Linked DNA regions of Ovis aries. The protein of the gene in region 2 purifies or fractionates together with the protein of the main gene of each other region. This does not show direct contact. Links are inferred from orthologs where the notes say so. Each region holds a gene or a part of one and is shown on either strand. Other genes may lie near its edges.

Region 1 (4,205 bases), on a different chromosome or scaffold from region 2:
AAGTGTATTGCACCAATTTGTAATTCCATCAGCAATGAAAATTTTACTGGGCGTTTGTTTTAAAGTCTGGACACTTAAATAAAACTTAACATATGTAACAGACAGCTAATATATCCCCGCAAAGTGTTAACAGACAGTAAATATCACAGTTTAAAAGGCACAGTGCTACAGAGAACTATAAAAAGAGAGAGAGAGAGACCTAAAATATATTCCAAATTCTCCTGAGCAATTTATGCCAATTTGGCCTTTTGTGCCTGGGTTTCCCCATCAACAGCAGTATGGAATTAAACCAGGTATCAGAAGAAATGAAATGTTATCAAGATGAAATGCCTAAGACATTTCTAATAGTCAATAGTACATATATAATGTTCAATTATTCATGGTCTGATGAACTGTTACAGACTATTCATGGGTTTTGCTTCACTATTTTTCTCTTCTATTAACACACCAGAAGAAGGTAAATAAGAATAATACAACTCATGCCAATCAATTTTGCTAATGACAGAGGCCTTATCCAGATTTTACTCCCAAGAAAATTCCCCATCCTGACCAGCACGCTCCCTTTCTCCATCACCTCTATATTCACTCAGGTTCTCTTATCTCTGCCTGTACCATCAAGGCTTAAGGATCACCAGGTCTCAAAACTCTTCTGCTTCCTTCCACCCTGAACCCTGATGCCAGCATATTATTCCTAAAGAACGCTTATCACATCACTACCCAAATCCAAAAGAAAGTCATCCATGACCAAAACTCTGAGTACAGCATTCAAAAGAATCTTCCACAATCTGGTTTCAACTTATCTTTTCAGGCTTATCTTTCACTATTACCCTTGAACTATCACAGTACTCTTCAACTGGGGGCAATTTTGCCTCCTAGGGAACATCTGGCATAGCTAGAGATATTTTTGATTGTCACAACTGGGACATGACGTGGGAGGAGGGGTTACTGGCATCTAGCGGCATATTTACTGCCTGCTATAAAAGGTGCATTCTCCAAGCCCAAGTGGTCCTCAGCTATGATACCAACCCACTGAACATGTAGCAGCCATCTGGGCCTCTCCATGTAACTCTATAGATAGGAGTTGGAAACAAGAGCAACCAACACAAACGGGGTGCTCAGACTGCCTGCTCTACTATGAGGTGCCTCTCACTCAGGAGATTCATGTGTTCTGCCAGCTTCCATGAAACGGTAACAGGCGATAAAGGAGTCACTTCTAGAAAGAGTAAAATCAAATCCTGACAGACACCTCTTAAACACCTCTCTAACACAATTTCCCTTTCCAAAACAAGCATTGGATTCAGCAGGCAATACCACCTAATAACACTGTTTTGTTTTCAAAGTATTTATATTTACAGTTACCTTACCAGTGGCAACTATCACAGGAATATAAAGTCTCCTTACAAATATTTAACTACATGGGAATTCCCTGGTGATCCAGTGGTTAGGACTGTGCTTCCACTGCTGGGGGCCCAGGTTCGATCCCCAGTTAGGGAACTAAGATCCCACAAACTATGAGCAAAAAAAAAAAAAAGAGAGAGAAGGCATTTAACTACAAAAATGTAAACTGACTTAAAGAAAAATATTAAATAAATAATAACGAGGGTGAATACGGGGATGATAATGGAAGAATAACTCAAGTTCAGGAAACACTGAAACCAATCAAACTGAATTACTAATTGAGACCTACTTTCACAGACTGGGCCCCTAAGTGAAACTCTTCATAAGGGAATCCTGGAATCCACCCTCACTTCCCACAACAGAAATCTTCACAGCAGTCTGATCTCCCATCCTATAACCCCTCCCCAGGATAGTATGAGGAAGCACTGTGATTAAGAGAAAAACAGTTTCACAGAAAACTAGTCGGACAGAATGTTTTAAAGTTTATGAACAGGATCTGCTGACAGATTTTAAAATGGCTAAACTTGCCTGGAAATCTCTAGTCAACATAATTGCGAGTTTCCCCCAGGTAGGATAAATCCCTTTCTTCTGGAAATTCCCGTGGAACTTCATCTGTAACTATCCCAGGTCATCTTTTTCTACAGCGCTCTTCTGCAATACACTTTTATTTCCAAGACATATATCTCGCAAGATACATATCTATCTTATGTCCCCTACTTTACCGTTAAACCTGTCAAAGACAAAAATCTTATGTCTGATCTCTGTAGCCCACAGCAAGCATACAACAGATGCTCAAAAAAAAAAAAAAAAGTTAATTATCCCCTAATTTCTGTTTATGGCAGTTTAATCTTAATGATGTTCAATTCACAGTAAGTCCCAAGTGCCTCACAACAAACTCGCGATATGCTTACTATACTTCCTTTCTATAAACGAGGGACTTGACCTCAGTCACAGTACTGCTAAGCTGCAGAAGCAGGATTCGACCTCACAGTTTTTGATTCTTACGCGTAATTCCAGAATATGGACTATGGCCCTCCCCTGCGCCAATTTCGATCCTGCCTCCCCCGTGACTGCAAGACCTCACCAGAACCCCCAGCGGAGTCCACAGACGACAGTGGGGTGCGACAGGGTCCCGAACCGCTGGCCGGAGTATCCGCACGGGCCCGGCAAGCGCAGCGAGTCGGGAGGCTGTCTACCTTGGTCCGAAGCCTCGAGGGCCGGAGAGTGGCAGGGGGACGGCGCGGGGCAGGGGCCCACCTGCTCAAAGCCGGCTCCTCGTCGCTAGGCTCCTCAACTGCGTACGGATCATAGTCGTCTTGGAGGCGGTTCATAGTGGCCGGCCCCTCCGATACCATCCACAGGCGTCTGCCGAACGACTGTTTACTCCGCAGGTCCCTTCCCTAAAGTGCTCCGGCCCAACTTCCGCCCGCACTTCCGAGTCCTTTATGCGCGCCTGCGCGGATATTCCCAGCGAAGGGCTGGTACTGCAGGCGGGTCCGGAAGACCTGCTGCTCCCCTTCGCAACAGGAATAAGTTCCTATTCGGAAACATACGAAGCCGCTACCTTATTACTGGAAGTTGCAGTGAGCACCCTCATAAGTGGCAGTATGTGGGATGAACACTCCACGTGCCGTGTTTCACGTTGTGACGTGAAAAACCAGAAATCTATGTGCTGAGGGACGTGTAGCCTTAGATCAGGGCCAGTAGGTCTCCAGACACTAGCATTCAACGTCCCTCCAGCCTCGTCGCCTGAAACCCTTCTACCTTTTTTTCTCGCGCTACTGCATTGCTTTCACAGTTCTCCCTTCTCAGTCTGACTTCGCCCTCGTCTGTCTTCCAAAAAGTTGCTAAGCTGTCATTCAATTCAGTTCAGTTCAGTCGCTGAGTCGTGTCCGACTCTTTGCGACCCCATGAACCACAGCACGCCAGGCCTCCCTGTCCATCACCAACTCCCGGAGTTTACCCAAACCCATGTCCATCGAGTCGGTGATGCCACCCAGCCATCTCACCCTCTGTTATCCCCTTCTCCTCTGCCCCCAATCCCTTCCAGCATCAGGGTCTTTTCCAATGAGTCAACTCTTCGCATGAGGTGGCCAAAGTATTGGAGTTTCAGCTTCAGCATCAGTCCTTCCAATGAACACCCAGGTCTGATCTGCTTTAGGATGGACTGGTTGGATCTCCTTGCAGTCCAAAGGACTCTCAAGAATCTACTCCAACACCACAGTTCAAAAGCACCAACCTGCCATTACTTACTTCCTAATTTGCCTATCTTGACCTCTTCTTAGTCCCGACCTTTTCTCGGCCCTTACCTTACATCCGCTGGATATGCCAGATGAGATAGATGACGGCGTCTTGACTGAGAGACAGTTTCTTCTGTTTCTCTACCAGCCTATACTCAAGCGTCTGCCGCTTTAGGGACAAGTGACCCCTCTTAATGACCCAATTCAGATGACTACTCTGTCTTATTTAATCCTTGCCCTTTCCTCTGATACTTTGTCGGATTTCCTCTTGCTTGGCTAGATACCTCCGCCTGCTGCAATTCAATCAATGTAGCACCAGAGCGGCACAGCATCTTTCACCCCATTTCTATGCCTCAGCCAAAGCTACTTTTGACTCAGTTTCTGCTCTTACCACTTCCTGACATCCTTAGAGTTGCCATAGACTGAGAATCTTGGAATCGATTGGACTCCTTTGTCCCTCCTTTGCTGACAAAGGGCTGTCTAGTCAAAGCTGTGGTTTTTCCAGTTGTCATGTATGGATGTGAGAGTTGAACCATAAAGAAAGCTGAGTGCTGAAGAATTTATGCT
Region 2 (3,980 bases):
AGTCAGTGATGCCATCCAACCATCTCATCCTCTGTCGTCCCCTTCTCCTCTGACTTCAATCTTTCCCAGCATCAGGATCTTTTCCAGTGACATAATTTTCTACCTTAATTTTCATCACAGGTAAAGAAAACGACACTCAAAGAGAAGACAGTTTTTGTTTCTGAGTTTAATGAGCAAGAACACTCACTGCACAGCTGGAAAGACATCAGTTAAAGAAAAGAGACATGTTCAAGACCACACAAGGACCCAGTTAGAACCCGGGTACCCTGCCCTCCAGGCCAGCGTTCTTCCCACTGTGCACTCCGAAGCTCCTTCAGATCTGTGCACTCTTCAGATCTCCTTCTCATAACAGAAGATGAAGGTGGAGAATGCCTGGTTGGTCCACTCTAAAGGATTAGTGTGCCTAAACTGTCTTAAACTATAATTCTGTCTAAAACTTAGAAGATTCGAGAAGCATCCACCCAGTTTCCCATAAGCCTCAGCGGAGGCCCAGAAATGGACAGAAAGTGGAAACGGGGTGCTTAGCATCTAAAATTCACAAGAGTATTGTAACGTAAAATAAAGTAAAATAAAATAAAATAAATAAAATTCACAAAAGGTTTGGGCAGTGGAGAGCTTTTCAACCACAACCCTCTTCTCCTGCATATATACAAATATACATATAAAATATATATATATATATAAAGAAGTCTAAAGTCCAGGGAGTGAAACAACTTTCCAAAGGGTCCACAGTCAGTAGCACCTCTGGACTGCTCACCCAAATGGATCCAGGTGGCATGGCTGGCCTCGGATCAGTATTTAGAAGACCAAGACCTTAGAACATTTATTTTTATCTACCTCTGAACTACCCAAGAGGACACACTGATAAGACTTCTGTAAACAGACATAGTCTCTGTATTTATAAGGATGGGTCCAACATGAACTAATTTTAACAGAACACGTCTAACTCTCTAGTCCCAAGACACCTACCTATTCAATTCAACAAATAACCTTGGAGAGCCTGCAGGATTTTTGCCAGACACGAACAGAAATAATCATGGAGAAGACAGTTACTGCCTTCCAGGCACTTCCAATCCAGCCAGACATATCAACAAGACCACAAAACTTCACAAACAGAAGAACCAGCTGCCTGTTTAATTCCTTTTACTCATTTTATTTAAACAAACAAAACAATACCATGAGGAAAGGAAGACCAACACTTTTCCCAATATGGAAAGGACATATTTTATTGTCTTTACCCAAAACCCACACAAATGATTATGACTCTAAATCAACATTTTTTTTCAAACTGCAAGTCACAATCTGATAATGGGTTAAAAGATCAACTTAGAGGATCTCAACCAACATTGTTTGTTGTTTTTTTTTAAATAAAAGGGCAAAATTTTAAAAAATCAGAGTACATCCTAAGAAGTAAAGCGAAGTACTGTTTTCTGAAGCTTTGTGTGTCTGTATGGACTCTTGGTCACCATGTAAAATGTATGCGTTACTGTAGGTCACAGTGCAAAAAGTCTGAAAGCCACTGCTCTAAATAATTTATATCATCTTACTATCCCCAATCTTGAGTTCAAAAGGCACTTAATATATTTATTAAATGAACAGCTATTGCATTTAGAATAACTGCTCATCAATTAGCCATTTTCCCAGTGGCATCTGTGTGCTCCTCTTTGATAATGCCACTTCTTTCTTTCTACTTCCAGCAGATTGTAATTCTCTTCACTATATCTTCCACAGCTGGCAAATGACCTGGCACAAAGAAGATGCCTTGAGATACAGAGAATCACATCTACCCACTTCTCTCCACCACATCCTTAATCTAAGCTACCATGTCCCTCAGCCAGATTGTCCCTGCAATCCCTTCTCCATCCAAAAGCAGGAGTGACCTTCTCAAACCGCCAGTCTAAGCATGTCACCACCCATACTTAACATCCTCTGAGAGACTTCTCACGTGGCTCTTGGCAAACCAAAATTCCCACTGCGACCTACAAGGGCTGTATGGCCTGGTCCATGGAAACTCCTCCAGCTTGTTTCATATCATGCTTCCTCCCCAAGCTCTGCTGCAGCCACACTGACTCTTTCAGACCCTCAAACAGAGGCTCCCCTGATAGAAAACTCTTCCCTCCTCTCTGTCTCAAACCATTTTTCTGATCTCTGCTTAATATTTACCTTCTCAGCAACGCTTCCTCGACCTGGGGCTAAGTCAGATCTCCTGTGATGTGCTCTCAAAGTGCTTTTTATCTTTCCATTTCACTGATCACAACTGCAAGTTCGCAAATATTAATAGAGGGCTGTCACCTCTAGGAGATGCGGGTCTTTCGTACCTCTAGCACATATTAGACGCTGGCTAAACATCTGTTTTTAATAAAAGCACGATATCCATGTTGTAGATGAGAAACAAAGGCTCGGTTCGTGGAAAAGACCTTACCGAAGATAGAGAACACCAGAACCACGTCAGGCGGAGCCAAGGCCTCCGAGCCCATAAGTTCTAAAGTTAGGAAAAAAGAAGTTTCCCAGGTGCCCCCACAAAGTTCTGGCGACGGCGTATCTGACGGTTACAAGGGGAGCAATAAGAGTAACCCACCTGAAAGAGGCAGGTCGGTCCCACCACCGGCTCAAGACCGGGACGCCACAGTCCCAGCTCGGTGCCCGAGTTCAGGCCCTCCGCGATCCCCAGCCGGAAAGAAGGGTGGCCGGACCACACAGACAACGAAAGCAGAACAGTTGAAAGAGGACAGGAGGCTGCACTCACCGACTGGTGTCTCGCCCAGGTCCAGGGATCGCAGAAGCGCACCGGAAGTTCTCCCTCTATAGCGCCGGAGGGGAACAACAGGGGAAAGGGGCCGGGCGGGTCCCTGGGTCGCGGAAGAAACGGCCCGTGCCAGCAGGTTCCGCCCCATGGAACATTGCCTTTGGCTACTTTGAGTTGCTGGATTTAGTTCTTGAACCCGTGGATAATAACTTTCATCAAACGATGCATTTTATATCCAGGTACAGAAACACATCCGCAAGTCACGGCTTTTCGGTTTCAATCAGTCGTGGTCTCTGAGGTTCTGGTCAAGGTCCTAGCTGTCCAGTAGCCACAGTCAGAGGCTCAGTCATAGTCCTGGTCAGCCGATCTCAATCAGAGTGAGTGTCACAGTTGGCCCTTTATCACCTGGTCTTGCTTCCAACCATACTCAGCTGTAGGGGAGAGCTTCAGAAACCCAGGCCAGAAAGACCCAGTCTAACAGCCGCAGTCACCACAGTGATCCTTCCTGCCATAAACACCCGATATCTTCTGGCAGTGCAGGCCTAGTATGAAATCTTAGGTAGGCTGTATATGCACCTTGAGGCAGGGAACCTGTCTTGTTCTCTGCTGTTTTTCTGGAATCCACACAAAGACCCAGTTCAATTATTAAATATTATGCATTTAATTAATGACAGTGATTCTTTATTAATTAGTGACTTCTATTTTGGAGCCTAGCTCTGTGCTGGGTGGTTGTATCACTCAGGGTTCAATCAAAGAAGCAGAGCCAGCGGGAGGTATTTAAGAGCTTTATTACAAGGAACTGGCTTATGTGATTCTGAGGGCTGCCTAAGGAAATTCAAAATCCAGAGGGCAGGCCCCTTGGGTATATGATATCTAATCCTTGCACTAACCCTAGTAAGCAGACTCGGTATTCCCAACATGCAGAAGAGAAAACTGAGGCTCCGAGCAGTTGCACAGCCAGAGAGAGGCCAGGCTAGAATGCAAACCAAGGTCTCATTGGTGACTGGCTCTTCTTGTCTCTGTGCTGCTGCTCTTTAGCTTGCCTGTCACAATTCCTCAGTGACAGCTGGACATGCCCATCTGTCTCAGTCAAAATTCATCTCTTAGTGGGTTGCAGACTAGACTGGGCCCTGCAGTCACGGTGGATCACAACGAGCTGCCCCAGGATTAGCCAGAGATGGCCTCTATCAGTCACAGTCACGCGTGTCAATCTCAGCCTGTCATGTCAGTTCCA
Region 3 (4,049 bases), on a different chromosome or scaffold from region 2:
CTCTGTGAGGAGGCCTCTGGGGGGCGAGGGGGGCTCATCGGGGCCCGAATCCCCGGACACCTCCCCAGGCAGCCCCCCCAGGGACAGGGCAGCCGCCCCAGCGCCATCAGGCAAACTAAGGTCAGAGTCCGAGTCGCTGAGGGAGCCAGTGTCCGGAGGCAGGGTGTCGGCCTCCGAGTCAGGGAAGTGTCGGCTGTCCCCTGCCTCTGCCATGTGTCCCCAGACCACGCCACACCTGCACCAAAACAGCCCCGGGAGTCCCCGGACACAAGCTCACACCCACCACCCCAGGCAGGATCAGCAGGAAGAGCAGTGTCCCAGGAGGAAGGGCCAGCCCCCATCCCCACCCCCGCCACACCGACCATAAGCCCTCCTCTTACCTCCCCGTCTGATGGGCGCCTGCTGGATGCTGGAGGGCAGGTGGGTTGAATGCTGACGAAGGTTCTTGGTGGCAAAGGCCCCCTGGTACGGCTCTGCTCAGCGGCTCGGTGACTGGCTAAGGGCAGGGAGGGACAGCCAGCCATCAGACCAGATGGCGGACAAATGGAAGTGGTGCCAACATCCCCGGAGTGGGCCTGGGTTTACAAAGCCCCCAAAACAGCCAGGCCCAGGAGCTGGTCCTTTTGACTTGTCACCTCCCTCAGTCCTCGCCAGGCAGGGTTGACTAGAGCCACTAGGGGACCCGCACGGGGTGGTCTGGTAGAGCAGCCGGCCGGGGTGTCAACCCAGGGTCACCAGCAATCCTCGCGCTCCCTCTGTCGGCCACGTGTGGTAGTGGCAGGCAGTACGCTCAGCTCAGTTGCATCCGACTCTTTGTGGCCTTTTGGATTGTAGCCTGCCAGGCTCCTCTGTCCGGAGAAGGCAAGGGCACCACACTCCAGTACTCTTGCCTGGAGAATCCCATGGACGGAGGAGCCTGGTGGGCTGCCGTCTATGGGGTCGCACAGAGTCGGACACGACTGAAGCGACTTAGCAGCAGCAGCAGCAGCAGCAGCAGGCTCCTCCGTCCATGGGATTTTCCAGGCACGAGTACTGGAGTGGGGTGCCCTTGCCTTCTCCGGTAAATAAGGAATGAATGAGTGACATGCAGAGCATGTAATTTTGTGCTAAAGCAGGCATCACCCTCCTCACACTGGCTAGCAGCTGCAGGGGTGAAACATTAAAACAAAATGGAAACTGAGGGTATTCCGGCCATTAACTGAGTAATTTTTCACTTCGGAGAAAGACTGTCACTGTTTCGTTTTGACACAGCGCCAGTGTTTCCACACACTAGCATATTCAATTACTTTCTAATGGATTACAAGGAGTCATGAAGGGTGATCACTCTTTTCAAAAAGTGAAATTACAGAATCGACACTGTATCAGTCACTAGTCTAATCGTGGTAACTGACACGTCCTGTGGTGGTTCCACGTGATAGCTTATTACGTTTTCAGGTCAGTGAGTGCTCAGAGGGACGGAAAACAGCTGACAGTCATGGCGGGAACTGCAGACTGGCTCACTGAACAGCTCGAACTGACTCAGTCAGACTTCACAAACATTTGCTGTGTGGATGAGGAGTACGTTTATTCACTGTGCTAACAACTGCAATAAAGAATTTTAGAGCTTGCTGCGGGATGCTGCCTGGGAGCAGGGCAGGCAGGAAGTACTCCACAAAGCCGGAGGCACCTGCCGGCTCTGTGGGGAGGAGGTGTGCTCCTGAGTGCAGAGATGCCCTGGCAGCTCCAGAAGGGACTGCAGCCAGGTCCTTGACATCTGAGGGTCAGGCTCTCAGGAAGCTGGCTCAGCCTTGCTTGGCAGAGGCCGGCCCCACAGCTCCTGAGGCAACCTCCAGCGACATCTGTGATCCTCCACACACCCTTCACTTTCCCAGTGGAGCACAGAAGTCCTGCCAACACCTGGTTAGCATTCCAGTGTCACCAAGCACCCTGAAACTTGTTTCCAGGCTCAGAGGACAGGCCTCAGCCTCCACCAACTTCCTCTTCCCACCAGGCCTCCCTTGCTTGCCAAGGGTGACTCTGTTGCTCCTGCACCCACCAAAGACCAGGCCAGTTGGACCAGGAGTGGCTCCGAGTGCCCTGCTCCAGGTCAAACGCAGGCGAGATCTCCATTCCTCTGGGCCTTGCATGACTCCCCAAATGCAGGAACAACTCCAGGAAAGGGGACACGAAGTAAACGCCAACGGTGTCTGTTTTAGGGCTGGCAGGACAGGAGTGGGGAGATAATTGGCCCGTCATTCCGTACACTGGAGGCAAAGCTGGAGCTTCGACCAGCCTCCGGCTTCCTAAATTTGCACTCCCGTCCCCTGGACGCCCGTGATCAGTGGGACACTCCGAGGGGAGCCAGGAATCGCGCCCCAAGATCGAGCATGCCAGGTCTGCGTCTCTTGAGTTCTCTGAGAACTTCCTGAGCTCACTGGAGGGCAGAGCCGAGTCCAGGCTGACGGAGGCGCGGTTTTCTCAGGGCCGGGGTCGGGGCTGGCCAGGTCCCAGGGAGCGCTGGCTTCCTTGAGGGTTGTCTCTCTCCCCTAGGAGGCAGAGCCTTGATTTTCTCCACTCCACGCGCCCAGAATCTCGGCGCGTGCCCAGCAGGCGCTCGTTGTCAGCTGCCTGAGTCCTGCGGCCAAGTCGGGCGGGGGCGGGCCAAGGGTGCGGGCCTCACGAGGGTCTCCCTGGTTGGGGCAGCAGACTACGGACAGTGGCCCGCTGAAGCCGGACGGGTCAGCAGCGCGGCCCTCCCACCAAAAACCTACCGGCTCACTTCGGCCTGGCTGCCTCCATCTTGAGCCGCGCTCAGCCTCGTGGGAAACCGAGTCCCCCGCTGGCCGATGGCCGCTTCTCCCGCGCCTGAAGAACTACATCTCCCACAAGGCCCCTGGCTCCCACGCCTGAGGCCTATCGGGAGTGATGACTTTGCGCATGCGCTGCCTTCCCTACAGGAAACCGTGGCGCTCCTTCGCGAAGAGACCGGAATTGACTCAGGAAGGGAGTCTGGGTGAGGAGGCAGGGCTGCGACTCCCAGAATGCTCCAGGGCTAACGGCCAGAGCCTCGTTCCTGGTACTGTAGCCCACTTTGCCGGAAGCTGCGAGAACCGGAAGTGCGTCAACGCATCCCGCGCGGTTCCCAGGCACTTCCGGTGCTGTTCCGGAGCAGCCGTCCCTGCTCTTTCGGGTCCCTGGAACCGGGCCGCGGGGCGTGTCCCGCGGTGTACATTTGTCCCGCCCACTGGACGACTCGGGCAGGCCGCCGCGTGGCAAGCCTCCTGAGGGAGGCGCCCCGGCCTCGCCTGCCGATCGTGACTGGTCATTTCTGCTCCGAAAGTGAAAGTCTCCCAGTCGTGTCCGACTTTGCGACCCTGTGGACTATTCAGTTCAGTCGCTCAGTCGTGTCCGACTCTTTGCGACCCCATGAATCGCAGCACGCCAGGCCTCCCTGTCCATCACCATCTCCCGGAGTGCACTCAGACTCACGTCCATCGAGTCACTGATGCCATCCAGCCATCTCATCCTCGGTCGTCCCCTTCTCCTCCTGCCCCCAATCTCTCCCAGCATCAGAGTCTTTTCCAATGAGTCAACTCTTCGCATGAGGTGGCCAGAGTACTGGAGTTGCAGCTTTAGCATCATTCCTTCCAAAGAAATCCCAGGGCTGATCTCCTTGCAGTCCAAGGGACTCCCAAGAGTCTTCTCCAACACCACAGTTCAAAAGCATCAATTCTTCAGCACTCAGCCTTCCTCACAGTCCAACTCTCACATCCATACATGACCACAGGAAAAACCATAGCCTTGACTAGACGGACCTTAGTCGGCAAGGTAATGTCTCTGCTTTTGAATATGCTATCTAGGTTGGTCATAACTTTTCTTCCAAGGAGTAAGCGTCTTTTAATTTCATGGCTGCAGTCACCATCTGCAGTGATTTTGGAGCCCCAAAAAATAAAGTCTGACACTGTGGACTATACAGTCCATGGAATTCTCCAGACCAGAATACTGGGATGGGTAGCCCTTCCCATCTCCAGGGTATCTTCCCAACCCAGGGATTGAACCCAGGTCTCCTG
Region 4 (3,500 bases), on a different chromosome or scaffold from region 2:
GGGGTGGCTGTGTGCTGGTGAGTCTCGTTGACGTTAGGCATTTCGTGCAGAGTAGTATTTTGACGGTGCTTAGGGAGCCGCAGTGGCAGTGCTCCTGCCAGAATCACTTGCTGTCACTCAGGCCTGAATCTGCCTCGTGTGGGGCACCCTCAGAGCTCGATCTGCTGCCATGGACTGGCCAGCCTGTGGCTGAGTTGGTGGAAGCATGTTCCAGTCGGCACAGCCTGCCTGTCAGGCAGGAGTGTGAGCCTGACTTTCTCTGGGCTTGGGGGTCTGTTCCAGGGTGACCTCGTCTCCTGCAGGGTAGCCCCCCAGCAGAGCAGCAGTGACAGGCAGACCCTCCTGTAGTACCGCGTTAGCCTCTTAGTCCTGAAACCTTATCCCTGCCCAGCGTTGCACTGAGTTCTGAAGTATAGAGCAGGGTGCGCCACTGCTTGCCCCAGAGGCAGCGGGTCCTGCCCCACTCGGGGGGCCCTGTGCTCAGTCTGCTCCTCCCCTCTGCCGCTCAGGGGCCATCCAGGTGGTGGTCGCTTCTCGGAGTCTCTGCTGGGGCATGAACGTGGCCGCCCACCTGGTGATCATCATGGACACCCAGTACTACAACGGCAAGATCCACGCGTGAGTCCAGTGTGCTGTGCGTTCACGGGCCCCTCTCTCCTAAGATGAGTGTAACCTCTGCAGATCCGGAAGGCCACTGTTGTGAAGAAAAGGTGTTAGGGAAATAAATAGCTAGCTGAGATTCCACCCCAGCCAGGGTTTTATTTGTGCAGACTTATTTCTGATGCTTGAAGCTGCTCCTAGGTTTGGATTTGAGTGGGGTGGGCTTGATCACTCATGAACCATATGGCTGTGAGGTCTGGGAGCCTGCCTGACATACGAAATGCTTTAACATGGAGTCATCTGGCTATCGCCGTTAGATGGGTTGGCTTCCCAGGTGGCGCAGTGGAGAACCCACCTGCCAATGCAGGAGACGCAGGTTCCATCCCGGGTCGGGAAGATCCCCTGGAAGAGGACATGTTGGCCCTCTCCAGTGTTCTTGCCTGGAAAATGTCATGGACAGAGGGGCCTGGCGGGCTGTAGTCCATGGGGTTGCAAGGAGGTGGACGTGAGGGAACAGACACACACACACATTAGATGGATTAACACCTTTGGTTCACAGACCCTGAGCAACAAAGTCCTGACTCTTAACACTTGAAAACTAAACTGGTCTGTAGATAACCTGTGACACTAGGGCCTGAGCACACTCACAGAGGTTTGCTGGGATTCTCCATGTCTCCCTGTATCTGCATTTTATTCTTCGACTTTCAGGGAGGCAGTGTCCTGAGTCCTCTTCTCCCTCTGTCTCCAGGTACGTAGATTACCCCATCTACGACGTTCTGCAGATGGTGGGCCACGCCAACCGCCCTCTGCAGGATGACGAGGGCCGCTGCGTCATCATGTGCCAGGGCTCCAAGAAGGTCAGCCCCGGCCTCTGGCGCGGGCTTCCGAGCCTGGGCCTCGGAACAGATTCTTTAATCTCTCTCTCCATAGGCGTCTTTACTTACTTCCTCATGTTCTCTCTGTCTTCTTTTCTTTCCACATTGCCTTTGTAACAAGCCTTTCCCTGTGTAGAATTTTGTAGCCTTTGATTTTTGTTGCTGCTGTTGACTCTGTGTATTGAGATCTTAACCCTCTGGCTGGGTCTGTCTTCCTCATGCCTTGCTCAGCCCTTGGGGCTCAGTGTACCTTCCTCCGTGGTAGAAATAACCAGTGATGCCGGGGGAACCGGCATACACACCCAGCTCTCCAGGTCCAGACCCAGCTCACCTTGTCTGTGCAGCTGGTCTCTTCCGTTTCGTACGAGCCGTGCCTGTTGCACGGCGGCCGTATTTGCCCTTGGCCTTTCTCTGACCGTACTGTCATTGACTGTGTGCTGTACCGTCATTGACATTTTTTCCCGTAGGATTTCTTCAAGAAGTTCTTGTATGAGCCTTTGCCGGTGGAGTCTCACCTGGACCACTGTATGCATGACCACTTCAATGCCGAGATCGTCACCAAGACCATTGAGAACAAGCAGGATGCTGTGGACTACCTCACCTGGACCTTCCTGTACCGCCGCATGACGCAGAACCCCAATTACTACAACCTGCAGGGTCGGTGGCGGCACTGCACGCATCATCCTCTGGTGGTTGGCACAGCCCTCATTCACCGTCTCCTCGGGACACCCCTGCTTACCTGTCACCTTCACAGGCATCTCCCATCGTCACCTGTCTGACCACTTGTCGGAGCTCGTGGAGCAGACCCTGAGTGACCTGGAGCAGTCCAAGTGCATCAGCGTCGAGGACGAGATGGATGTGGCGCCCCTGAACCTGGGCATGATCGCCGCCTACTATTACATCAATTACACCACCATCGGTGAGGGCCGGCAGGGCCTGCAGCCACGGGGACGACATGACGAGGCTTTCAGGGCCTCGTGTGCTTGTCAGAGGGACGCATTGCAGGGTGGAGCCGGGCTAGCCCAGCAGTTAACTCTGCTCCTCCTCTGCCTGCTTTGACTCCTCCAAATGTCCTTTCTTTCCTCTCTCAGAGCTCTTCAGTATGTCCCTGAACGCCAAGACCAAGGTGCGAGGGCTCATCGAGATCATCTCCAACGCGGCCGAGTATGAGAACATCCCCATCCGGCACCACGAGGACAACCTCCTGCGGCAGGTGAGCGCGTCTTGGCTTCTGGAGTGCGTCTTCCGAGCCGCGTGAAACTCGGCCCCCATACCCAGAGCACAGGATCCCGCTCTTGGGTCAGGAAAACTCCTACTCCCCTGCCCCGAGCTCCCTCACACACTCCACACACATCTCAACCCCCACCACCCACAGCCGTCGTCTCCTCCTTAGCGTGGAATGGTTGTGGGCCTGGGGCGGGTGGTGCTTTGGCCCTGAGTGCGGGTCTCTTCACCAACCGCTCTTTCTTCTGCTTTCCAGCTGGCCCAGAAGGTCCCCCACAAACTGAATAACCCTAAGTTCAACGACCCGCACGTCAAGACCAACCTGCTTCTGCAGGCTCACCTGTCCCGCATGCAGCTGAGTGCTGAGCTGCAGTCGGATACAGAGGAGATCCTCAGCAAGGTATGGAGGCAGGGCGCCGCGGGCATGGAGGCCTGGGCGGCCCATGCGGCAGCAGTGCCCACGCCTGCTCTTGCTCTCTGGGCCCTCTGCAGGCCATCCGGCTCATCCAGGCCTGTGTGGACGTCCTCTCCAGCAACGGGTGGCTCAGCCCGGCCCTGGCGGCCATGGAGCTGGCCCAGATGGCCACCCAAGCCATGTGGTCCAAGGACTCCTACCTGAAACAGCTGCCGCACTTCACCTCCGAGCACATCAAACGTTGCACAGACAAGGTGAGCTGGGCCTGCATCGCAGTGTTGGGTGGCCAAGTCTGGAGGCCAGGCATCCTGCACTGGGGTTGGTTGTGGGAGGGGAGGTGTCTCGTTTTGGCTTCTCTGAAGGTGTTACCCAAGAAGGCGCCAGGG
Region 5 (4,128 bases), on a different chromosome or scaffold from region 2:
GGGTTTGGGTGGACTCCGGGAGTTGGTGATGGACAGGGAGGCCTGATGTGCTGCGCTTCGTGGGGTCGCAAAGAGTTGGACACGACTGAGCGACTGCACTGAACTGAACAGAAGGCGGCTCTGTCCATGAAATTCTCCAGGCAAGAATACTGGAGTGGGTTGCCATTCCCTTCTCCAGTGTTATATTCCCGATCCAGGGATCCAACCCGGGTCTCCCACACTGCAGGCAGATTCTTTATGATCTGAGCCACCAGGGAAGCACCCATACTTAAATGTCTTATAAGGAGAAAAGATACTTTCCACCCGAAACCAGATGCAATGACTGAGCAGGAAATCAAGTGGACGCGACAGAGGAAGGGGCTTAATGATCCCCGTTCTCAAACCCCTCTGTCCAGCCCAAGGCTGGAGCATAAATCTCTAGGTACTTGGGCAACCTCTTTAGTTCTGTCTCTGTACTTCTGCAACTTCCGGGTGTCTGAGGCTGACTGATTCGTTCTATAGAGATCACCTATACGAGTTTTAATCTTGGATCCGCATTTACTGCTGTGAGACCTTTCTGAACCTTACTACTACTGCTCCGAGCTATTTGCTAAAGATCACTTGGCGAAGTCATCCCCACCAAGCTCCTCAGTCCCTGGGATCTCCCAGGCAAAAATACTGGAGTGGGTTGCCATTTCCTCCTCCAGGGCATCTTCCTGGCCCAGGTCTCCAGCACTGCAGGCAGATTCTTTACCGTCTGAGCCACCAGGCAAGCCCCAACACGGAAGCAGGAGGCCTAAAACCAACCCTCCACCCTAACATGGGTAAGCGAAAGACCAAGAAGTAGGGTGGGCTGGCCAGGAACTGAACTCAGGTGTCCTGACTCCTGCCTAGTTCTAAGCCTTTCCCAGTCACTGAAAATCTAGAACATCTAATCCTCCTGCCCCCTGACCTTCACCCCAGCAGCCGGGGCCTCGGTTTCCTTTCTTTCTTTGGGGATGCCCAGACACTGCCCGACGAAGTCAGCTCAGCGTAGACCACGCCCAGCAGCTGTGGTTGCCCAGCAACTGCTACAACAGCCTCCCACGTGATCGCCCCGAAGGCCCCCAGTCAGGGTGGCCCCGAGGCGCCTGATCAGATTCACGCCTCCTCAGGCCTCGCTTTCTCTGGAGCAGCCCACGCCGTGGTTTGGGGACCCACAGTTCCTCTTCTCAGGTTCCGGTGTCCGCAGCCGGGATTCCTCCGAGCTGGTCCACAGGCAGAGGGCTGCCCTCCCGGGAAGAAACGCAACCGCGGCGCCTGTGGGGTCCTTCCGAACGGCGGGCGCAGGCGGTGAGGCGGCGTGGGGCGGAAGCACGATCTCCAGCGGCCGACTGGGAGTTTTTGGCTGAGCAGCGGGAGGTGAGTGGCGCTGGTCAGCGTCAGGGGAGGCTTGCTCTGGTGGAATGGGAAATTAGTCAGATTTGGAAGAGATGCTATGTGTTATATGCCACTTTCACTTTACAGATGGGTAAATTGAGGCGTGGAGTAGGATAGAGAATGAAAGCCCCCCCACCCCCCAACCGATTCCTGGGTTCCCTGCGTGTCGTCCGTCTATAAAACCCTTTCCCTGGGCAGGGGTCGTTCTTGCAGTGTCTATTCCCCTATCTTACTCTCTCTTCCAACTGTGCCGCCTTCACTTCTCTATCAAGCTCCCTCCGTCGTTACTCTATGTTCCTTTGAGAGCCTGCATTGTAGCGGGAAGCTGCAGTGAAGTTTGGTACCGAAATTCACTAGTTTTGTGCAACTGTGGGCAGGTCAGCTGTCTTCTCTGTGCCTTGTTGGGGCCATACATTTCGTCATTCAGTAAGTGGTTCTGTTTTGTGGCAGGCACCCTTTTAAGTGAAAACAAAAACAGTCCTTGCTTAAACTGTAGTTGGAGAGGTGACGGTAAATACACGAAGATACTTGTCAGCTAATGATAAATGTTAATAAAAATAATAAAACATTGAAAATAGGGGTTGGAGAATGTGTGTGTGGGGGGGGGGAGTTTTTTAGAGTGACAAGGGAAGGTTTCTCAGAGAAGGTGCTGTTTTAGTAGAGACCTGAGTGAGATGAAGGAACAAGGTATATATGCCCAAGGGAAGAGCATTTTGGAAGAGAAGAGTAAGTGCAGTGGCCCTGAAGCAGAAATGACTTGGATTATTTCATGAACAGCCTTGTATAGAAATTTCTGCAGTCATTTCATGGGTGTCTTGGGAGAATGAAATGTGCACAGAGATGATAGCTCTTTGGAAATAAAAAGAATATGCATATGAAAGTTTCTGTGATAAATCACATTTACTTATTAGTAGTGGAGCTCTTAATTCTCTATTTTATCCACAGTCAGCACTCCACAAGGGGCACTGAAGGAGGTGGAGGGATTACCGTTGTGGAAGAAATACCAGTATCTCAAAATTGAACCTTCTGGTCAGTTAACATTTATCTAGTGCCTACTCATGTGAAGTGGTGTCTTGGGCATTGGCACATGGGCACAAGGAGCACAGGGTTCCTGTATTCAAGAATGGCCAAAAAAGTTTTTTAACTAAAAAATACAAATAAAACAGACAAAAGAATGGCTAAAAAATAATGCCAGTTAACATTGATTGATCCTGGAATCATGATGAATTCTTTACACAGCCTATTTTTTTTAATTCTCATAATGCTTTATGTGGTGAAAATTAATCACTTTATTTTCCAATTGAAGAAACAGGCTTGGAGAGGTGAAGGGCTTACTGAAAGTGACATAGTTATTAAGTGACAAAGTTTGGATTCAAATCTAGGTCTGCCAGTTCCAGAGCCCTGACCAGTAACCCATGCTCTGGTCTGTTGTCTATTACTTGTAAGCTGTAGAGTTGTTGTTGAGGGTAGTTAATGCAGTTAACTACCGTTGATGACAGAAGTAAATGCTGATAAAGACACAAAAGGCTGTGGCATCATAGGTGAGTGAGAAATTGAGGCTCAAGGAAGACTTGAAGGAAATGGTCTTTGAACAGTTATTTTGAATAGAATTTCAATACTTGAAGTGGAGACAGCCCACGAAATATTTATGAACTGCGGAGAGAAAACAAGTAACTTTATACAGTGGAAAAGCCTGGTAGACACCACCACAATCAAGTGGTTACGTTAACATCACCACTGATGGGAGAAATTAAAATCATATGCCACTTGTTAGGAGTTGCACCGAAAAGAGCACAGCCTCACTACTGTGATAGTCTTACCAAAAAAAAAAAGCATAACTTGACTCTAATCATGAGGAAACATCAGACAAACTTAAATTCAGGAACATTCTACAAACTCACTAGCCTGTAATCTTCAAAAGCGTCAAGTCACAGAAATCAAGGAAAGGCCAAGGATTGTTCCAGATTGAAAGAGACTGAAGACATGATAGCCAGGTGCAAACATGGAATCCTCTGCTGTGCAGGACATTAGTGGAACAATTTCTGAAACTTGTATGGGGGCCTGTGGATTAGGTGTAGTGATGTGTCAGTATTTTCTGATTTTGATGGTTGTATTGTGGTTATGCAGAAGAATGTCCTTGTTTGTAGGAATCATGTGCGCTAAGAACAGGGGTTGGCAAACTTTGTCTATTAAGGGCCAGATAGTAAGTATTTTAGGCTCTGTGGCCATATAGTCTCAGAGGCAGCTACTCAGCTGTTACAGGCTGAAAGCAGTCACAGACGGTATAAAGAAAGGGGCATGGCTGTGTTCTAGTAAAGCTGTTTTCATAGACACTGAAATTTGAATTTCATAGAACTAATTGTCATGTATCATGAAACACTCGTCCTTTGACTTTTTTTTCCAACTGTTTAAAAATATTTTAAAAATCATACCTTCCAGGCCGTTATGAGAACAGCCAGATTTGGCCACAGGCTATAGTTTACCAACTTCTGCACTAAAGTCTGAGGAGGTGATGAGACATTGTGTCAGCAACTTATTCTCAAATAACTTAGGAAAAAGTGATGTGCACTGTTTTTGCAACTTCCTGTATTTAATTATTTTAAAATTAAAATTCTTTTAGTATTAAAAAAACAAACAAACAAGTGGGCTGGGACTTCCCTGGCAGTCCAGTGGTAGGACTCCATGCTTCTACTGCAGGGGGCATGGGTTCAAGCCCTGGTGGAGGGGAGG
Region 6 (2,983 bases), on a different chromosome or scaffold from region 2:
CCATGGACTGTAGCCTGCCAGACTCCTCTGTCCATAAGTTTTCCAGGCAAGAGTACTGGAGTGGGTTGCCATTTCCTCCTCCAGGGGATCTTCCTGACCCAGGGACTGAACCCATCTCTTGCATCTCCTGCATTGGCAGGTGGATTCTTTACCACTAGTGACACCTGGGAACCCACTTCCCTGGTGGCTCAGACGGTAAAGCATCTGCCCGCAATGCGGGAGACCCATGTTCAATCCCTGGGTCGGGAAGATCCCCTGGAGAAAGAAATGGCAACCCACTCCAGTACTCTTGCCTGAAAAATTCCAGCGACACCTGGGAAGGGGGGATGCAAAAATGAGCAGACTCTTCAAATCCATCCAGATCTTGGTAGGAAAATAGATGATCCATATTGAGATAAAGACAAGGTATTTTAAAGGTAGAACTGACTAGTTGTGGGACTGAGTATGAGTAAGGTGAGGCACTTTGGTTTCTTTGGAACCAGAGCTTTCAGGAGTGCCATAAATCGAGGCTTCATAGCTTTTGGCACAGTTGGTGAGTCATCACCCCCAATCTACCGCAAACTTAGTTCCATTAGGACAGGTACCCCATCTCATTTGCTCTTCGGTGTATTTTCTTTGGAAGTCGGAGGAGCTCAAAAATTTTAATGTTGCTTCCTCAAGAGGGGAAATGCTCCCAACACACCCTGTCTAGGCTAAGTACCCCTCCCTGGTCTTCCTTTCACTCTCCTTCCATTCTTCCCTGGTAGAATGGCCGCCCCTCCAGCGCAGGGACGCCTAATCTCCCATCGACTTGGCACAGTTAGTGCCTAGAGTAGGTCAGTTCAGTCGGTCAGTCGTGTCCGGCTCTGCAACTCCATGGACAGCAGCACACCAGGCTTCCCTGTCCTTCAAGTTTAGTCAAGATTGGGTTTTGGAAAAAAAAATAAAAGATTGGGTTTTGCCAAAGCGCTTTATGATGCTAAAAGCAACCACTAGGGGGCGGGCTGGTACCGACCGAGCTCCCGGCAGACGCCCTTTTCCTACGCTCCCACCGCTCAGGGCGGGGCTACCTCACGAACGGCCCCTGTGCCGTATCTCGGGTCAAGTGGGGGGCGTAGCTTGAGCTCCGAATGCGGCCGGAAACTGCCGAGAAGGGCTTTGACGAAGCTCTCCGTCGGCCCCGCAAAGAGGCGGAAGTAGCCGAGAAGCGCCGGAAACTTCCGATCTGCGGCGCGTGTGAGTTCTTTGGCTGTGCGCTGCGCCAGTTGTCATGGAGCCGGCCGGGCCGTGTGGCTTCTGCCCCACTGGGGAGGCCCAGCCGGCTCGCTACACTTGCCCTCGCTGTAACGTGCCCTACTGCTCGCTGCGCTGCTACCGGGCGCATGGCAGCTGCGCCGAAGAGTTCTACCGTGACCAGGTGCTGGGAGAACTGCGCGGTCGCAGCGCCTCGCCCAGCCGCCTGGCCACCGCCCTGCGCCGGCTGCGTCAGCAACGTGAGACCGAGGATGAGCCCGGGGACGCAGGCCTCAGGCCTGGCCCGGCGCCCGGCGGCCTCTCAGGACTCTGGGAGCGGCTGGCCCCGGCCGAGAAGGTGGCCTTCGAGCGGCTGCTGAGCCGAGGCGAGGCCGGGCGGCTGTTGCCTCCGTGGCGGCCATGGTGGTGGGGTCGCGGGGCCGGGCCGCGGCTTCTGGAGGAGCTAGGTGATGCCCCAAGCGGCGATGCCGAGGAACTGGAGCCCTCCTCCGCGAGGATGCCGCCGGAACCCGTGAGGGATGAGCCCGCGGCTGTCGAGCCGGTTCTTGGAGACCTCCCCGGGGCCTGCCCTCCCGCCGTGCCCACCCGGATCCCCGCGCTGGCCAGCCTGAGCAGGGGCCGGACGTCGCCGCTTGTGCGCTTCCAGCTGCCCAACGTGCTATTTGCCTACGCGCACACTCTGGCCTTGTATCACGGCGGCGACGAGGCGCTGCTCTCGGACTTCTGTGCCACACTGCTCGGCGTTTCCGGAGCCCTGGGCTCCCAGCAGGTCTTCGCCTCTGCCGAGGAAGCCCTGCAGGCCGCAGCCCATGTGCTGGAAGCAGGCGAGCATCCCCCCGGACCTCTGGGCACACGGGGAGCCATGCGCGAGGCTGCCCGCATTCTGCTGGGTGAGGGCCCGGCCAACCAGAAAAGCTACACGCTGGCAGCGCTGGGGGACCTGGCGCAAACCCTGGGCCGGGCCCGGAAACAAGCGGTGGCCCCCGAAGAAGGAGATCGCCTCTACCGGGCCCGAAAGAAATGCCAGTTCCTTCTGTCTTGGACCAACGAAAATGAGGACGCCCTCACACCCCTGGCTCTAGACTGTGCCACGGCCCACCGAGCTCACACTGTGGCAGCTGAGGAGGTGGCAGCCCTCACGGGGGAGCTGGAGCAGCTTTGGGGAGGCCCCCTGCCACCTGCCCGGAGGACTCTTATTGAGGAGCTCCCCGGCTGAACCCTTTGTCATTAATAAAGCTGTGACCGCTCTGCCCCGTCGCCAGTGCCCATTTCTGAGTGGTGGTTCTTGTGCCACCGTCCCCCAGACTCTTGGGCCCACAAACTGCCTGTCAGCTTCTCCTTGACTGGGGCTGACCCAGCCAGTCTTTAAACAGCCTGGCCCAGAAAGGGAGAGAAGCAGCACCAAGGATTCCAGCTGTTTATCTAAGGAGGAAGAGCAGCACACCCCCCCTACACACCCACTCCATTTTGGAGCACTGGCTTCATTTCCCCCTTGCTCCAGCCACTTATCAGGCCGTTCATCCCAGTGTTTTGGAGCTCTGGGCAGGGTAGGGTACAGGCCCTTGTGTCCCGGGTGCGTCCAGGCTCCTGGTGCCCAGTGTGCTGGCAGCTGGGCAGGCACGTGCCCCAACCTGGGGTGTCTGGAGCTGCTTCAGTAGACGTAGGGCACGATTCGGTAGGGCACACGCTGGCAGTATTCGTGCCAGGCTAGGCCGTACTTCTGCAGACACTGCCGCTCATCCCGGTCCTC
Region 7 (2,458 bases), about 12 Mb from region 2:
TAGTGACAGACCTGGGTGTGAAGTGGCTGGGTCTCTGAGGGCACATGTAATCCTGACTCAGCTTGAGGTGCCGACAGCATCACAGAGACCTGCTGAGTCTTCTCTCTTGTGTCTGTGGCTGCAGTTGAAGAAATGTCCCCACTCCACCCCACTGTGGCTCTTGCTTTCCCGGCTGGAGGAGAAGGTTGGGCAGTTGACCCGAGCTCGGGCCATTCTGGAGAAGTCTCGCCTGAAGAACCCAAAGAACCCCGGCCTGTGGTGAGTTCCCGTGCCCCCAGGAGCTGACTGCGCTCATACCAAGTCTGCGGTGCAGCACTTTCAGCTGAGGCTCCGTGGGAAGGTGCAGTCTGTGGGGAGTCCTGTTCCAGCTGTGAGAGTGTTCACACTAGCCTGAAGATAGTTGGACACAGTGTGGCTTGTGGTGGAATTGAGGGTGTCCAGGAACCAAGAGCTAATGAGGGGGCATTGGGGTGAATGATGCCAAGAAAGTGGACTCTACGGAAAAGGTAATATCTGAGAGGGGCCTTGAGGGATGAAAAGGAGTTTGCCAGATAAACATGGCATTCTGTCCATAGGAGGCTGTGCACACAGACTCCAGGTGTGGGGCTTCAGGGTGTCAGTGCCCTGAGGTGCCCCAGCAGCCACCAGCAGGCCTGTCTTTATCCTCCCATCTTCACTCGTACCTGGATGACCTCAGATTCCAGGTTTATGGCCGCCCATAGGCTTAAGGGTGGGGATCACCCACGTCTCCCTTCTCTGGTGGACGAGCTGCTGGGCAGCACAAACAACTCCAGCTACTGAGGCTCCTCAGGACCTTCTGCTCGTCATCAGGCTGCCAGTGGACAGTGCTCTACCCTGCCCGGGTTTCTCTCTACAGGCTGGAGTCTGTGCGGCTGGAGTACCGTGCGGGGCTGAAGAACATCGCCAGCACGCTCATGGCCAAGGCCCTGCAGGAGTGCCCCAACTCTGGTGAGCACCCACCCCAGGCTGTGGGCAGCAGGTGCCAGATTCAGGCACAAAAATTCTTCCATTATGCTTGGTCATTTAGATGATTGAACTCAAGTTTCAATGTGGGCAGTTGGACCGCATGTTCTGAGATGCTACCATTTCTGTTTCTTTTAGAAGTTAATTTTTTACTATTTTACCCCAAGTCTGTAAGTTAGTGCATGTGCAGTATAAATAAATTTGGAGTAAAAAAAGAGAACATGAAAATTGCTATGAGCCCAGTACTCGGAAATCACTGCTTTTAGCTTTTTTGTATTTTTACAATTTGTATTATTGCACAAAATCAAGTCATACTGTGTATTTTGTTTTGTCCCCTTTTTTTTTACAGTTGAAAATTCTGTGAGGATTTTTCATTATCACTGAATCCTTAACAATGAACAGTTTAGTGGCATCGTAGAATTTTCTGGGTTTATGTCAGGTATATGGCCTCAGGCCGATCTCTAGGCTGGTATCAATCCCAGGTTATCTTTCTGCATAAATCCTTGGTAGCACTTTTTGTTACTTTGTTACAGTGAATTCTCAGCTGTGAAGTTAGTCAGTGAGTATGAAACGTTGGAGGCTGTTAGGACTTCCAGCCTCCTCGCCCCCAGGATGATACCATGGCCTTGTCAGTGGGGCCCTGTGGCTCTGGGCCAGGGTGGAGGTTGGAGGGTATGGAGTAGGGGGGCGGCCTAGGCAGTGCGGCCACGCAGGAGGCACAGGTGGGGATATCCTGAGTCTTCAAAGGCCTCCCTGTGTATGATGGCTGAGATGGGCATCTGCATGTCTGGATTTCAGGGGTCCTGTGGTCTGAAGCCATCTTCCTGGAGGCGAGGCCCCAGCGGAAAACCAAGAGTGTGGATGCCCTGAAGAAGTGTGAGCATGACCCCCACGTGCTCCTGGCTGTGGCCAAGTGAGTAGGGGTCCTGGTGGCAATGCCAGTCCTCTTGCTGGGGTCTCCAGGTCCCCAGAACAAGGCAGTCTTCCCTGGTCATGACCCTTGGGAGGGCCCCTGACCTTCCTTCCCTTGTCCTGGTTCCTTCTCAGGTTTCTGCGCTCTCTGTCTCTGGCACTTTTCAGTTTATTCCAACATGGGTCTTGGGTTGCAGGACAGACAGGCCTGCTGACACTGGTCACATGGAATTTAGGTTACAAGTGAACCTTTTTTGGTTCAACAGCTGTAAGCAAGACAGTTGTTTCCATTGTGTTAATGCCAAAAGCCAGACTGTTTGACCTGTGTAACCCTGGGAACAATCTAGGGCCCATTGGTCAGGCTCTTGGTGTGCCTGGGGGTGTAGAGGCCACCTGTCCTTCAGGGTGTTTCCCTCAAGGACAAGAGGAGGTGGGCAGGCGACCCCCCACTGTCAGCTTGTGCAGGGTACTGGGCCCGGGGCTCCCTGGGGAGGCACGGAGGGCCTTCAGAACCTCCTGAACCTTCTCTGTTCCCTTCTCAAAGGAGGACAGTGGCCTGAGA

The links.
Region 1: the proteins of AAR2 (region 2) and EAPP purify together in Homo sapiens (affinity purification with mass spectrometry; 4 studies listed by BioGRID and IntAct, counting the BioPlex papers as one, with this or other methods). This does not show direct contact. The link is inferred for Ovis aries from reciprocal best matches to the Homo sapiens genes AAR2 and EAPP.
Region 3: the proteins of AAR2 (region 2) and TSSC4 purify together in Homo sapiens (affinity purification with mass spectrometry; 3 studies listed by BioGRID and IntAct, counting the BioPlex papers as one, with this or other methods). This does not show direct contact. The link is inferred for Ovis aries from reciprocal best matches to the Homo sapiens genes AAR2 and TSSC4.
Region 4: the proteins of AAR2 (region 2) and SNRNP200 purify together in Homo sapiens (affinity purification with mass spectrometry; 5 studies listed by BioGRID and IntAct, counting the BioPlex papers as one, with this or other methods). This does not show direct contact. The link is inferred for Ovis aries from reciprocal best matches to the Homo sapiens genes AAR2 and SNRNP200.
Region 5: the proteins of AAR2 (region 2) and EFTUD2 purify together in Homo sapiens (affinity purification with mass spectrometry; 5 studies listed by BioGRID and IntAct, counting the BioPlex papers as one, with this or other methods). This does not show direct contact. The link is inferred for Ovis aries from reciprocal best matches to the Homo sapiens genes AAR2 and EFTUD2.
Region 6: the proteins of AAR2 (region 2) and ZNHIT2 purify together in Homo sapiens (affinity purification with mass spectrometry; 3 studies listed by BioGRID and IntAct, counting the BioPlex papers as one, with this or other methods). This does not show direct contact. The link is inferred for Ovis aries from reciprocal best matches to the Homo sapiens genes AAR2 and ZNHIT2.
Region 7: the proteins of AAR2 (region 2) and PRPF6 purify together in Homo sapiens (affinity purification with mass spectrometry; 3 studies listed by BioGRID and IntAct, with this or other methods). This does not show direct contact. The link is inferred for Ovis aries from reciprocal best matches to the Homo sapiens genes AAR2 and PRPF6.

The regions. Positions count from the first base shown.
Region 1 is NC_056071.1:42,708,480-42,712,684, forward strand, and holds the start of EAPP (E2F-associated phosphoprotein), read right to left. Parts: upstream 2,801-4,205; 5' UTR 2,754-2,800; coding exon 2,656-2,753; intron 1-2,655. UniProt on the Homo sapiens protein: May play an important role in the fine-tuning of both major E2F1 activities, the regulation of the cell-cycle and the induction of apoptosis. Promotes S-phase entry, and inhibits p14(ARP) expression.
Region 2 is NC_056066.1:65,348,252-65,352,231, reverse strand, and holds the start of AAR2 (protein AAR2 homolog), read right to left. Parts: upstream 2,801-3,980; 5' UTR 2,579-2,800; intron 1-2,578. UniProt on the Homo sapiens protein: Component of the U5 snRNP complex that is required for spliceosome assembly and for pre-mRNA splicing.
Region 3 is NC_056074.1:45,569,345-45,573,393, forward strand, and holds the start of TSSC4 (U5 small nuclear ribonucleoprotein TSSC4), read right to left. Parts: upstream 2,801-4,049; 5' UTR 2,036-2,800; intron 497-2,035; 5' UTR 381-496; intron 236-380; 5' UTR 214-235; coding exon 1-213. UniProt on the Homo sapiens protein: Protein associated with the U5 snRNP, during its maturation and its post-splicing recycling and which is required for spliceosomal tri-snRNP complex assembly in the nucleus.
Region 4 is NC_056056.1:104,085,737-104,089,236, forward strand, and holds part of SNRNP200 (U5 small nuclear ribonucleoprotein 200 kDa helicase), read left to right. Parts: intron 1-509; coding exon 510-618; intron 619-1,348; coding exon 1,349-1,457; intron 1,458-1,942; coding exon 1,943-2,132; intron 2,133-2,229; coding exon 2,230-2,394; intron 2,395-2,566; coding exon 2,567-2,688; intron 2,689-2,955; coding exon 2,956-3,099; intron 3,100-3,191; coding exon 3,192-3,368; intron 3,369-3,500. UniProt on the Homo sapiens protein: Catalyzes the ATP-dependent unwinding of U4/U6 RNA duplices, an essential step in the assembly of a catalytically active spliceosome. Plays a role in pre-mRNA splicing as a core component of precatalytic, catalytic and postcatalytic spliceosomal complexes.
Region 5 is NC_056064.1:44,341,667-44,345,794, reverse strand, and holds the start of EFTUD2 (116 kDa U5 small nuclear ribonucleoprotein component), read left to right. Parts: upstream 1-1,328; 5' UTR 1,329-1,380; exon of another isoform or gene 1,381-2,427; intron 2,428-4,128. UniProt on the Homo sapiens protein: Required for pre-mRNA splicing as component of the spliceosome, including pre-catalytic, catalytic and post-catalytic spliceosomal complexes. Component of the U5 snRNP and the U4/U6-U5 tri-snRNP complex, a building block of the spliceosome.
Region 6 is NC_056074.1:39,773,066-39,776,048, reverse strand, and holds ZNHIT2 (zinc finger HIT domain-containing protein 2), read left to right. Parts: upstream 1-1,230; 5' UTR 1,231-1,249; coding exon 1,250-2,449; 3' UTR 2,450-2,483; downstream 2,484-2,983. Other genes in the region: delta(14)-sterol reductase TM7SF2, read right to left, coding at 2,885-2,983. UniProt on the Homo sapiens protein: May act as a bridging factor mediating the interaction between the R2TP/Prefoldin-like (R2TP/PFDL) complex and U5 small nuclear ribonucleoprotein (U5 snRNP).
Region 7 is NC_056066.1:53,537,657-53,540,114, reverse strand, and holds part of PRPF6 (pre-mRNA-processing factor 6), read left to right. Parts: intron 1-124; coding exon 125-258; intron 259-877; coding exon 878-969; intron 970-1,782; coding exon 1,783-1,897; intron 1,898-2,458. UniProt on the Homo sapiens protein: Involved in pre-mRNA splicing as component of the U4/U6-U5 tri-snRNP complex, one of the building blocks of the spliceosome.